Coturnix japonica: one gene and its partners. The protein of the gene in region 2 interacts with the protein of the main gene of each other region in a biochemical or structural test. Links are inferred from orthologs where the notes say so. Each region holds a gene or a part of one and is shown on either strand. Other genes may lie near its edges.

Region 1 (4,188 bases), on a different chromosome or scaffold from region 2:
CTTAAAGAAGGCTTGTGTGTCTGGAAAGTATTTCCTCCCCTTAAACTTCTTAATAGACAGCATTTGCTTGATGCTTGGGCGTGCACATTAAATCCTTTATGTTGCTGGTCCCTGTGGATCCTCCAGAGGCACCAAATAACTTTGAGTAGTGCCTCCAAACCTTGTGGTGTGCTGGATCCTGTGTTCCTTCCTGCTAACTGGAGAGATTAGCAGAGCCCTACTCCTTTATCCCCCTGAAAGAGGGGTATTATGTGCAGGGGAGCCAAGTCTCTATAAATCCATAGGTTTCAGAGGCTTGAAAGGAAGCTGTGACTCCAAGCTGTCTTCATTCTCTGCAGAAACTTGTTCCTGTGCAGCTCACCTCCCTCCACTGCATAATGCTAGGAACTAGTCTAGATGTGAGTCTTTGTCAGAAGTTGTCTTAGCTCTTGGTATAGGGGGTGAAGGAATAAGAGAAGAATCATCTCTAATTAGACAAGCCTTCACTTTTCTGCCCATAAATAGAATTCAGGAGAGATCTGGTATATTCAAGGAGGGGGGGAATAGAGGCCTGAATTTCTAGAAGACAGTTGAGCATAATTTGAACTTGGCGTATACCTGTAGTTGTCAAAGGAATGCTGAGACATCTCGTGAGCTGTGTCCCAGGTCTGGCCACTGTGAAGGAGCAAACAGTGGGAAGATGTTCTCCCCAGCCCTGGGGTCCTTTCTGGGTTCTGTGCTCCAAAAGGTAGCAGGGGGTGCAGGTGGGAACCTTTCAGCATGATTAAGCTTCTGGCTGATGAGTGCCGGGGGGAGGAATTCAAAACAGCTGGTAAATCTATGGGGATCAAGCTGTGTAGGCCATTCTACAGGGATGGGGGTGTTTTTAAAAAATAAATAAATTTAAAAATCTCTAAATGTTTCACCCTGACAATTCAAAGTGAGTGTCAGACGTATATGTGTGCGTGTATATGTATACACACATTTTTTTCCTTTTTTAATCTTAGCCAGCTGAAGTTTTTATTTCTACTCTTAAATGTGTACTGGGGTTACTTTTAGAAATGATTGTGTGGAGACAACCTGATCTGCAACCCATATCTTGGGTAACTCCTTGATAAAAAAGGACTGAATCTCATACACCACTGTAACTGGTTATGTATTTCTGTTGATTTCTGATTAAGCAAATGTGTGAAATTCAAAACAGGAATGCTGACAGCTATTGTGCCGATTGGGGAATAGTGAAACACACAGGCTCCGAAAATAACAACATCGTGTCTTTCTGCACTTGTTGAGGTGGAGGCTGCCAACTGATGGCCTGTAGCTCAGAAGCCGCCTGTTCGTGAATGCTTCTGTTCTGTTACGTCATAGGATAAGGTTTCTTGCCCACCACAGCAGTGCCACAGTAAGTTGGGTGTCCTGCTTGAGCTGGCTGAAGGTGAAGTCCATTTTCTACATGCAGTGCGGTACATTGTAAGTGAAACAGGGATGCAAAGGGATTGGAGGAGTATAGAGGAGAGATCTGGCACAGCTCCAGCTCTGGGCGTGCTGTGCTCCTGGGAGGATCCAGGAGATCCACCTTACCCAAAGGTAAAGCACGCTTTAATGAGGAGAACACATTTTTTCTGTGTAAATTTACCAGGATTTTCTGATTGGCTAAAATGAGGTAAAATCCTTTCTCCTTTTAAGGCATTGCACATATAAAAGCTCGTAAGGAATTTGGAGGGACTGGCTGCATCAGCTTCCAGATGGTACCACAGGCTGAGCTGCACCACTGGAACTGGAGCTCACTGGTGGGCACTGGTCTTGGGGTTGGGGTGTTTGGGTGGAAGTGCTGCTCAACCAAAGCTACTGGTGAACATGCCCAACCACTGCAGTGGCAGCCACCATTGCCCCCACTGCCAGCCATCCTCATGCCCAAAAATGTGAGCAGCTGAAACACGTACTACAGAGCTGTTAGGAGCAAACTTTGTAAACTGCATTGTCATGGAGACAGTATGGATCAGCTGAAGGAGCATATGGTTCTTTACTCCTTCGAGCTATCACTGGAAGGAGTAGACTGAGGAATATATTTAGTGTTTTCTTTTCAGCAGATGACTAAAGATAAGGAAATAAAATTAGCTTGAGAAAATCCTCCTCCTTCTCTATGGGAAGTTGGCTGCTGTTCACTCTGCATTAGAAAAATATTACAGAGATCTCTTGTTTTACAGCTGATCACTGATAGGCATTTTGGAAAGGTCAGATCTGAGAGCTGCTTTTCAGAGATACACGAAGGAAAACATGAGTGGTTTTTTCCCTCGAAATTATAGGGATTTGCTTCTCTTAAAAGCAGGGTCAGTGTGTGATCTTTAAAGCTAAATCTTCCTTAAGACTTTGGGGATCTCAGCCGTACCCTCTTGCCTAGGATCACGTGGCAGTTCTGGGGCATGCTGGGGGCTCTCCTTGTGGGGTTTGTAATGCATTTAGTAGGGCTATGGTGGAAATAAGGGAGCCCTTTGTCTCACAGTGTTGGAAAGAGATGAACTCAGCTAAAAAAAGACAGTGAAATTGTTGATGATATCACTATTTTTCAAGAAAAGCTTTGTTTTGGGAGATGGGAAAGACATTTTTGTTTAAGAAACAAACAAAAGCATCATGTAAAAATAATTGACTGGCCTTATGAACTCATTCGTGAGCAACTGGACCGCTGGAGTTCGTACAAGTTAGACAACAGATATAAATATCTAATTACACTTCTTCAGCAGCCAGTCCTCAGATGGGAACAGTATGAGTATAATTCACTCACTAATTAACATTTTGAGTAAACGATGGATTATTCTCTGCCTTTATTTGTGCTCAGAAGGGATGGCCTGACTGCAGCATCCCAAACAGAATTACTTTAGGCAAGATGTTCCCATTGCCAGGCTGAACCCTGTGGCTCAGGTGGAAGAGGATGATAGGAAATTCCTTCCACCTGGTTGTGGTCTGCTTAGGAGCAGTTATATTCTTTCCCCATCATGTATGAATTAGCATAGTATCTGAGGAATTTCAGGGCTTACTCAGCGATACCTTTCTGTACAGGAGAAACAAGGCACAAATGGAGATACTGGCTAAAGCAGCTCTCTCTGCAGCCCCTGGCTCTTTGGTGACAGAACTGCTTTTTAAGAGGGAAGGGAAGGGAAAGGTGGGGGGTGTACAGATAGCTGAAAAGCTGCTAACAGCCCCATCCTGGCAGGGAAACTGTTTCTATTGTTTCTGCTCTCTAATGGGCAGGTATGGGACCTGGGGTCAGGGGAGGGGATATTATGCAGACCTGCTTTCTTGCTCTCTTCCCAGATTTGGGGTGCTGGGCAAGAACTTGTCTGCCTGAGCAGAAGGAGAAGGGGAAAGAAACATCACAACCAGGACGACACAAGAATAGCTTTGGCTGTGATTCAGCACATGCAAATTTGACTTTACTGGGACTAGGTGTTTTGATGGACTGTGACCTTCTTACACGTTTTTCCACAAAACTGCATCCATTTTGCACTTGGAAAGTCTTTTTTGATCACAGAACTATCTATTTTGGTGTAAATGGTGCTACAGACTGCTCAACCGAAGTGCTAAATAGGATGCGGAGAAGACTGTGAAGCTGAGCAACCAAAAGACGGGAGGTGCTTGAATTGACACTGCCAAACACTTGAAGTTTGGCCAAGTTTTCCGTCTCTCAAAACCAGTACTTGTAATGCTCCATAATGGGCGATGTTATATACCAGACAGAAGGCATGTATTACACAATGGAATTTGATGGTTTTAGCCACGTGTATAATTAGTGATAGCAGCTTGGTAATGGTAACACTGAGAAATACTTTTGCCGTCTCTTCTTTACATTAGATTGAATCTTTCCCAAGGAGGAAAATCTAGGAGGCACTAGTCAGTCACTGACTCACTCTCAGCTGCCTCTTTGCTAAACCCTGAATGTATGCCATAGTAAGTTATTTGTCACAGTGACTCAGCATTGTAGGCTCCTTTTTAATTTCTCTCCCTCACCACAGAGCCAAGAAAATCTCCCACCTCCCCATGCCGTATGCTACTGAGATTGCAGTTTGTATCATCGGCCAAAGGATAAAGAATTTAAATTTGTGCTAGGAGCCTTATAAGGGCATTAACACTTGCGTTTGGGTTGGACGTCACTATGGCAAGCAAAGGAAAGGTGCCAATAATAGATCCCCGGTGTTTGTACATCGCACAGTG
Region 2 (3,512 bases):
CTGTCACTCTGCTTTTAAAGTTCTTCCCTTGGGGCAATTTTAATAACATATTCCTAATAGGTAATTTCAGATTTGATCTCATAGATTTTCATTAATTTGCAACTCTTTTCCAAACTCCCATGCCCTTCCCTTAGGGATGAATTAAGGCCTCACCTTTATTGATCAGAAAGGTGATTCTCTGAAACTCATCTTTGGAGGAAGGAAGGACTTCTGAGGGAAGGTTGAAAACTGGTTGTAGAATATTTTTTTCCAAAATAGCTGGGGAGAAAATGACAGAGATGGTCTCTTGGAAAGAGTAATTTGCATGAACAGAATTAAAAAGGCTTCTGAAAACCCAGAAGGGAAGAATGGATAGAAGGTGTTATTCAGAATATTGCATTAAATGAGGAATGTTTGCCTCATTAACTGGCTAGAGATTGGGTGATGCTAACAGTGTATATAGGAATGCTGATAACTATTTCTTAAAGTTATGAGGATGTAATATGAGAGAAATGTTGGTCTGAGACAGGCATCTGTTGCTCTGAACCAGTCTGCCTTATGAACAATATATATTCCTGTTGTATAATTTTCTTCAGATCACCTGTCTTTCACATAGTGAAGGAAAACAGTAAATAAAGAAAGCCAGGAGAGAAATTTTTTGGTTTTACCAATGAATCTGTAACACTTTTGATTCTTATGTTTGAGTAAGTCACTTCTCTGGTTTTAGGATCACTAGTGACTTTCACCTCTACGTTTCAGAAATGCCCTGTCACTAAATCAGCCTGTATTTTGGTGCAGGGCACATGGACCAGATGCAGTACTGATGGCAGAAGGCAACCGACCAGCTGAGCTGACACAGTCCCAGATGCTTCATATTGCCCAGCAGATTGCAGCTGGTATGGTTTACCTGGCATCACAGCACTTTGTGCATCGGGACCTTGCTACCCGGAATTGCCTGGTTGGTGAGAACCTACTAGTGAAGATTGGAGATTTTGGAATGTCTAGAGATGTGTACAGCACAGACTACTACAGGGTAAGTGAACTGCTGTGAGAGCTAGCAACTGAAGTCCTGTTTGGTCAGCTTACTGCAGTGATGTACTTATGGCAAGTTGTGGAGTCAGCAGCATTTGCTCCCACATGTGTGACTTCATGAATGGAACAGAGGAATGGATCAGATTTTTATGGCTTACAGAAGGCAATCTATGGCCAAGCTGTTAGTTTGTGAATGCTGGACTTGTATCCTGTAAGATAAGCTACTATGCATCTTTTTACATTCTCTGTATCTGCTTCTCACATCACTTGTTTTCAGTGAGTTCTTAGATAAAATGAAGATCTCTTCCTTATTCACACTAATTGTGCTGGTGCTCATAAAAGGACAATGCCACCTCTGTGCCATTGTTTGTGGGATGCCTGAGAGTAGATTGCCTTGATGTCCAGATGATGCTTGACAGGGCAGAGGAAGGTAGATATAATAATTGTTTGTTGAGTGTTGTTTTACCTAACAGCTGAAAAATGTCTTCTCTGTTCTTTGTTTCTTCTTTCAAAATGCAAACATAGTAATTAGTAAACATACAAACCATATTTCTCTTATATTTTGTTATTTTGGAAACTTGGCACCTCAAGCTACTTGGTGCATGTAAAACAAGTATGATTTCATTTCAGGACTTGGAAAAATACACAGAATCGTAATCACTGGCTCTATTTTTTCAAGGACAACAGTGAACACCAAAGGCTAGGCTTTCTTAATTTGCATTTGAAGAGTGAACTGTGCTGTGACTGAGGGCGTTTCTCTGTTCTGTATTTGATCAAGACTGCGTTCACTTAGCATCTTCATCATTACACTTAGGAATGAACGCTCAAGCTTAACAGTAACAGTTTGCAGAAGCCTTGACAGATAAAGGCAGAATTTTTTGAGTGATAAGTGTTTTGCTTTGTTTTGAATTTTGGAAAGAAAAAAAGTAAAAAGAAGAAGAAGAAGAAAAGAGAGAAAGTAGCTCTTGCCACAGAAAAACTGCATGCAGAAAAGGATGGAAGATAGGTAATCATTTGTGCTTCCTAGAGGCAGCTGAGGTTTGGCACAAGCATGTGACAGTGTACTGAGTGGTGTCTTCTTACCAGCTCATACCTCTGTTAGTCCTTGAGTCCTACACATGAGCACTCAAACAAAGCTTCTACCCAATGGAGTGGAGGTTTATGACAAGGGCAAGGCGGAACCTAGAGAAGTTCTAGGTAACCTGGATGGTCATTGTCTTTCAAAGCACTTCATTCAAGTACACTGTATTTTTCCATTGCTTCATTGTCAGTCACACTCTCTATTCTCTGTCCCTTGTTATTTTGTCCATCTTCTGAGACCAAGGGAGGAATTTTGTTGTCCAGGAAGAAAGAAAGAAGAAACAGGAGGGTGTGTGATGAGGGTGATATAATGGATGTGAGGTGTTTTAAGTAATTAAAAGTTCATTAAGGAAAGGAAACAAAATTGGAAAGAGCTGTTAGTAAAAATACACAAATTTGGCTGAAGGGAGGATGAGGTAGGCAAATGTCAGAGGGGGTGAATGAAAATATAGATTTTTGTAGTAATTTGTTTGGAACAGCAAGAAAACCAAGAAGGACTGTTTCCCTACCACCTCCCTTTTAGTTAGTGTGGAGGAGAGGCAGACCCACATCCTACATTGCAATTTTATTTTACACTGATAAAAGCTGGAAGACACAGCTGAGCCTTTGAGGTTCTGAACAGCCCTCCTTGGGTCTGCCGTGTATGGTCTAGTCAGAAGCTGAATGATGACTTTCCAGATTGTTGTCTGGAGAATTAATCTGTGACAGACCTACAAAATGAAACCACCAGTGATTACACTGGGTTTGCACTGACCGAGTGTACTTAATTGTTTATACCATGTCTAACTGTTCACACTTAATCATATGCAGGGGAGTAATTCTTCCCCAACCTTGAGTGCTCCATCTAATGCTTACTGGAAGGTTTAATACAGCTCCAAAAGCTCCATAGGAAACGTTTTGGTGTTTGTGTGTATTAATGCACTGGAATCATTTTACTGGGAGCCTACCAGCCTTGTCAGAATGCTGGATTTTCTCAAGATGCTTTGTAAGATAAGGATGGTCACCAGTACTTGTTCACCACTGGATTGTTAATGACACTCTGCAATGAATCAATGCAGTTGTTAAGGGACACTTCATGGACAGGAGTGAGAGTAGTAACCCTTGAGCTAGAAATGTGTGTAATATTCGGTGCTAGTTGCACAAGCTTTCATTTACCTCCTCTCTTCCTACATTTTCCTTTTATTTTTCATCAGATAGGAATCTTGACGGCAAAGGGAGCCCTGATCACAGCATCACAGTCTCGTGCGGATTGGAAGGAACCTTAGAGATCATTGAGTCCAACCCCCGAGATTTGAGCCTCCTGTGTAGCAGAGTGGCACTTCTACCACTTGCGCCACAGGGCGGGATTCGAACCCAGGCCTCCGGTGTTGCAAAACGGCATTCCTACCACTGTGCCACCAGATGTATGTGCTAACATTCAA
Region 3 (4,312 bases), on a different chromosome or scaffold from region 2:
ATGGCACTCAAAGTCATAGCAAGCAGATGGTGACATCCAAACTATTAACATGGAAAATATGTCACCTGATGAGCTGTATGAGAACATAACCACACATCAGGAAATCTGTGCTCTTAGTAAAATGTTTAGATTTTTTATACCATCAGAAACATATATCTATTTTTCCATTTGCACCTCCTTTTCACTACTACCACCAACGTTCAGTTTCCAGTCTGCAGCTTCTTTTGCTCCTGATCCCTTTTCACCATGTGAAACCACTCACGTTGTGGCCTTGATCTCTACAGGGCCACAGCTGCACAGTGAAACCAGCCTCTTGTGGCTGCAGCTGTTCTCTAGCTGATTGGGCAACCCAGCACATGGCAATCCACACCACTTCCATGCCAGTCCCTTTCTCTGTCTCTCTGAGGATATAGATTCTCCCTGTGCCACATGTTATATCCATAGGCTACTAAACCCACGTGTCTTGCTGTTGCACAGCACTCCTTCCATCAAGGGCTTGGGTTTGCATGGCCCTGCATGAGATGCATCACTGCAGTGAAAATGCTGTGATCCTGCAGCAGCCAGGGATTGATGCCATTTCCCACAGTCATAGCCCTGAAGTGCCCTGGAGCAGAGATTGGTATTTGTGTGTTGGATGAAATGTGCTGCCGTACACTGACAAACTGCCACTTGCTTTCTTACACCCCTGTACTCTGAGGGTCCTCTGTTTGTTTCCTCTTCAGCACAGCCTGCAGGGTATTGTCTGTTCTCACGAGGAGGTGAGGCCAAGTGGACCGCCTGCTTCACCTGGATTAGAAACCACAGGAGGGCTTACTCAGCAATGAAGCAATGCCATCACCTCGAACGTGTTTTGGAGAGCTATCCTCACCAAAAAGAGGCCAGAAGTGCTCCCCAACAGATTCTTCAGTGTAACCCAGGGCTAATAGTTGAATTGTTGAGTCTTACATGATGCACTGTTAGCAAAAACCAAAATGAAGACAAATGAACCTTCCATATGAACAACCCCAAATGCTGAACCAAAACCAAACAGAGAATCAGAACTAGGAATGCCTGAGGTGTAACAGCAAAAGGACACGCTGGAAGATCAGCTCTGTATAACAAAATGTTACAGTTCTGCTCAAGAAAGGGGATGTTAACGTAGACTAATGGCACAGATACGTACAGTCAGTAGCATTAGGTGTGGTGACTGTTAATAGCAAGTTAACAGCAGTTGGACGCTGGAGATGCCGCCTGCTACAGCTGGCTTAGTGACTACAGAGCTGCACTCAGACAGCACAGCAGCAGCATGGATCGTATTTGCAGGCAGCTGGATTGCTATTCATGATGTTGGCTGATTTAACGCAGGTAATCTCACAATGCTGAATTTTATCAGAAATGCAAACTAAAGCTTTAACGTTCCTAAGCTCAGTAACTCATTTCCCGGCTCCAAACCAACACATCTCGCTCCCCCTCCAACCCCGCGGCTGCGGCCGCCCCGGACGTCGCGTCTGGTGTCGGGCTGCGTAGTTCCGGCCCAGCAGGGCGGGGTGAGATGCGGAGCGGGCAGCCCGGGCCGAGGCAGCAGCAGCTGGAGCCGGAGCAGCGGGGCCAGGCCGGGCGCGTTGTTCCGGCCATGGAGATGGAGAAGGAGTTCCACCGGCTCGACCAGGCCGCCAGCTGGGCCGCCATCTACCAGGTGAGGGGCGGCCGCCCGGCCCCGCTCTGACCCGGCGATGAGGAGCGCTCTGCTCGCGGCCGTTCTCCGCTGCCGCCGGCTCCGCTCCCCCAGCGCCTGCCCCGGCCGGAGCTCCAGGCGGGCGGCGCTGCGTTCCGCTGCGTTCCGTTGTGTTCCGCTGCCTTCGTTCCGTTTCGTTCCGTTTCGTTCCGTTTCGTTCCGCTGCCATCGCCCATGTCGCGACTTTCCGTTCCTCCTGTCCGTGCTGGATCACTCGCCGTTCCCTCCTTCCCTTTCCTCGCGGCGCTCAGGGTGGCTCGGTGCAGCCCAGGCCCCGCCGCTCTCCCCGCCGGCTGCCGGCATCGTCCCTCCGCGTCGCGGCCGCTCTCGGCCTTTGGAGCTGCCGGTCCCATTGTGAGCAGCGGGTCCCGGCTGTCATTGAGCTCGGTCCGTAGCGATAGAGCGGATCCGAGGAGCAGCTGGCTGGTGACGCTCGTGCAGTTATATTGTGGCATTTGTTATTACTTTGTAACGAGCCAAGTTCTGGTGTTGTTATTGCAAACACGGATGATTCTGAGGATGCTGGCAAGGTGGATCCAGGTTAACACACACAGCTGTGAGCAGGTCTTCTGCCTCCAAAGAGCTCTGTGTGTTTATCCCGGAGGTGTGAGGGGAGCTGCAGCTGTGTGTGATACTGTGATGTGCTCAGTCACATCAGACAGCGGACATTAGAAAAAGGGCAAAAAATGAGTTTTTATGAAAGTGAAATAAACGAGCTCCAGCTTCACAACAGCAGCATGTGAGCTGTGAAAGCACCAGCTTGCAGGATGGGCATCTCCTGTTGGTTGGCAGTGGGAAAATAGACATTTTTCTTATGAAATCTTGATTATCTTTTTCAGAGAAGTCATTTTTTTTGGCAGAGGATTTCATTTCCTGCAGAGCCTCAGTGCTCGCTAACTCTGTATTGGTTGGAAGTCATGTGCTCGTATGATGATGTGTTTTTGTTAAACTTCTCTTGGTATTTTGGTCTGTTGCAGGCTGAGCGCTCAGGAAATGATGTTGAGTAGCAGCGCTGTAATGGAGGTGGTCAACTTCCAGGGGTGCAGTTTAATTACTGAGGTGGAATCCATAAGGAGCTGTGAGGTTAATAAGGAACGAGGGCTGTGGCATGTTTCCAGTGCAGCATTTGGTATATTTTTTCCTGCTTTCTCTGAATGATGTGACGCAGTCTCTGCTCAGACTGTCACAGAGTGAGGTTTGACTGAGGACTGATATTCAAATTAAAAGTAACAAGATGAAGTGATTTGCTTCCAGTTGTAGACAGGCATGAGAAGCTTGTATTTTAAGGTTTCTTGCTTGTATTTTACGGTTAGTAAGTATGTGCTTCTGCATCACATAACTCAGTTTCTACTGCATCCTTCTTTTCAGTATCAGCTGTTTTAAGTGACATGGTGGCAGATCATATACATCTAGAACAGCGTACCTCGCTGTAATCCATGCTTGTGATGTCTTGGCAGTGACATGATCAATGCAGTTTTCCAACAAATACCAATCTTTGCCTGAAGAATGGAGTTAAGTGGAATAATGTTTCTTACTGGCACAGTCTCTTCTTTCTAAAGAGTCTTTCTCCGGGTTAATTATACCATGTACTTCTACTGTGTAGGTGGTAGGATCATGATTGCTAAAATCCAGATGTGTTCACCAATGTTCTGAATGAAACATCACACGGTTTACTATCAGAATCGCTTCCTCTTGTTTCTGGGCTATATCATTGATCTAGAGATACAGCTGACTTTTAGAGGAGGCATTAGGAACACAACAGGGAGGTGAATCTGACTGCAGGGGTGGCTGTAAGGAGGTCTGTGTGGATGCCACATGACTTTGAAGGCATAACATTTTCCAAGCTTCTTTTTTTTTTGTCCAAGAGGAAGCTGTGTTCAGCTGCAATAATCACCCGGTTCTGAAAGAATGGGAGTACCAGGAGGATTGAAATGCATTCACTCTGGAGATGTCACAACAAAAAGCAGGAGCCGAAAGCTACGAAAAGAAGGTTCAGGAGAAATTTCATTGCAGCCTTCCAGCACTTGAGGGGAGCTTAGAAACAGGATGGAGGACGACTTTTTACTGGGGTGGATAGTGATAGGCTAAGGGGGAATGGTTTTAAACTGAAAGAGGGGGGATACAGGTTTTCACTTGACGTAGTGAATTCAGTACCAAATTTTAATGGTAATTCTATATGTAGAAGTCTTCAATAATTTTGATTTCTAACTCCTTACACACGTTGGTAGAATGAGATACTATCTTAAAAACACAAACCTCAAATACAGGTTAAATTGCTTCTTGTGTTTACATAAACCTGGTAGGTTGATGTTAGTATGTTGGCTAATGATATTAAGTCTGATGTGTTAATAACATTAAAGAGATCTGTGAATTATTCAGCGTTCAGCTAGGAATCCCATGCAAAGCAGACACTGCAACCTGCACTAACTTGATACTGTTGGTTTTCACTGAAGCATCTATGACATTTTCTCGACGTTAGTTTTCCACGTGAAGGGTGCAGAATTTGTGCTGTAGATTGCAAAATAAGAAAGAACTGATTGTCATTTAGATTTCCAGGTCTGTTCAGAATGGGGAATATTGGGCGCTGTACTGGCTCTG

What was found. The genes of interacting proteins can lie anywhere in the genome.
Region 1: the proteins of NTRK2 (region 2) and BDNF form a complex in vitro, tested with the Homo sapiens proteins (3 studies listed by BioGRID). The link is inferred for Coturnix japonica from reciprocal best matches to the Homo sapiens genes NTRK2 and BDNF.
Region 3: the proteins of NTRK2 (region 2) and PTPN1 form a complex in vitro, tested with the Homo sapiens proteins (2 studies listed by BioGRID, with this or other methods). The link is inferred for Coturnix japonica from reciprocal best matches to the Homo sapiens genes NTRK2 and PTPN1.

What each region holds. Positions count from the first base shown.
Region 1 is NC_029520.1:3,109,651-3,113,838, reverse strand, and holds the start of BDNF (brain-derived neurotrophic factor), read left to right. Parts: upstream 1-1,387; 5' UTR 1,388-1,442; exon of another isoform or gene 1,443-1,566; intron 1,567-4,188. UniProt on the Homo sapiens protein: Important signaling molecule that activates signaling cascades downstream of NTRK2. During development, promotes the survival and differentiation of selected neuronal populations of the peripheral and central nervous systems.
Region 2 is NC_029547.1:36,617,481-36,620,992, forward strand, and holds part of NTRK2 (BDNF/NT-3 growth factors receptor), read left to right. Parts: intron 1-777; coding exon 778-1,012; intron 1,013-3,512. UniProt on the Homo sapiens protein: Receptor tyrosine kinase involved in the development and the maturation of the central and the peripheral nervous systems through regulation of neuron survival, proliferation, migration, differentiation, and synapse formation and plasticity.
Region 3 is NC_029535.1:12,162,837-12,167,148, reverse strand, and holds the start of PTPN1 (tyrosine-protein phosphatase non-receptor type 1), read left to right. Parts: upstream 1-1,511; 5' UTR 1,512-1,531; coding exon 1,532-1,675; exon of another isoform or gene 1,676-4,312. UniProt on the Homo sapiens protein: Tyrosine-protein phosphatase which acts as a regulator of endoplasmic reticulum unfolded protein response. Mediates dephosphorylation of EIF2AK3/PERK; inactivating the protein kinase activity of EIF2AK3/PERK.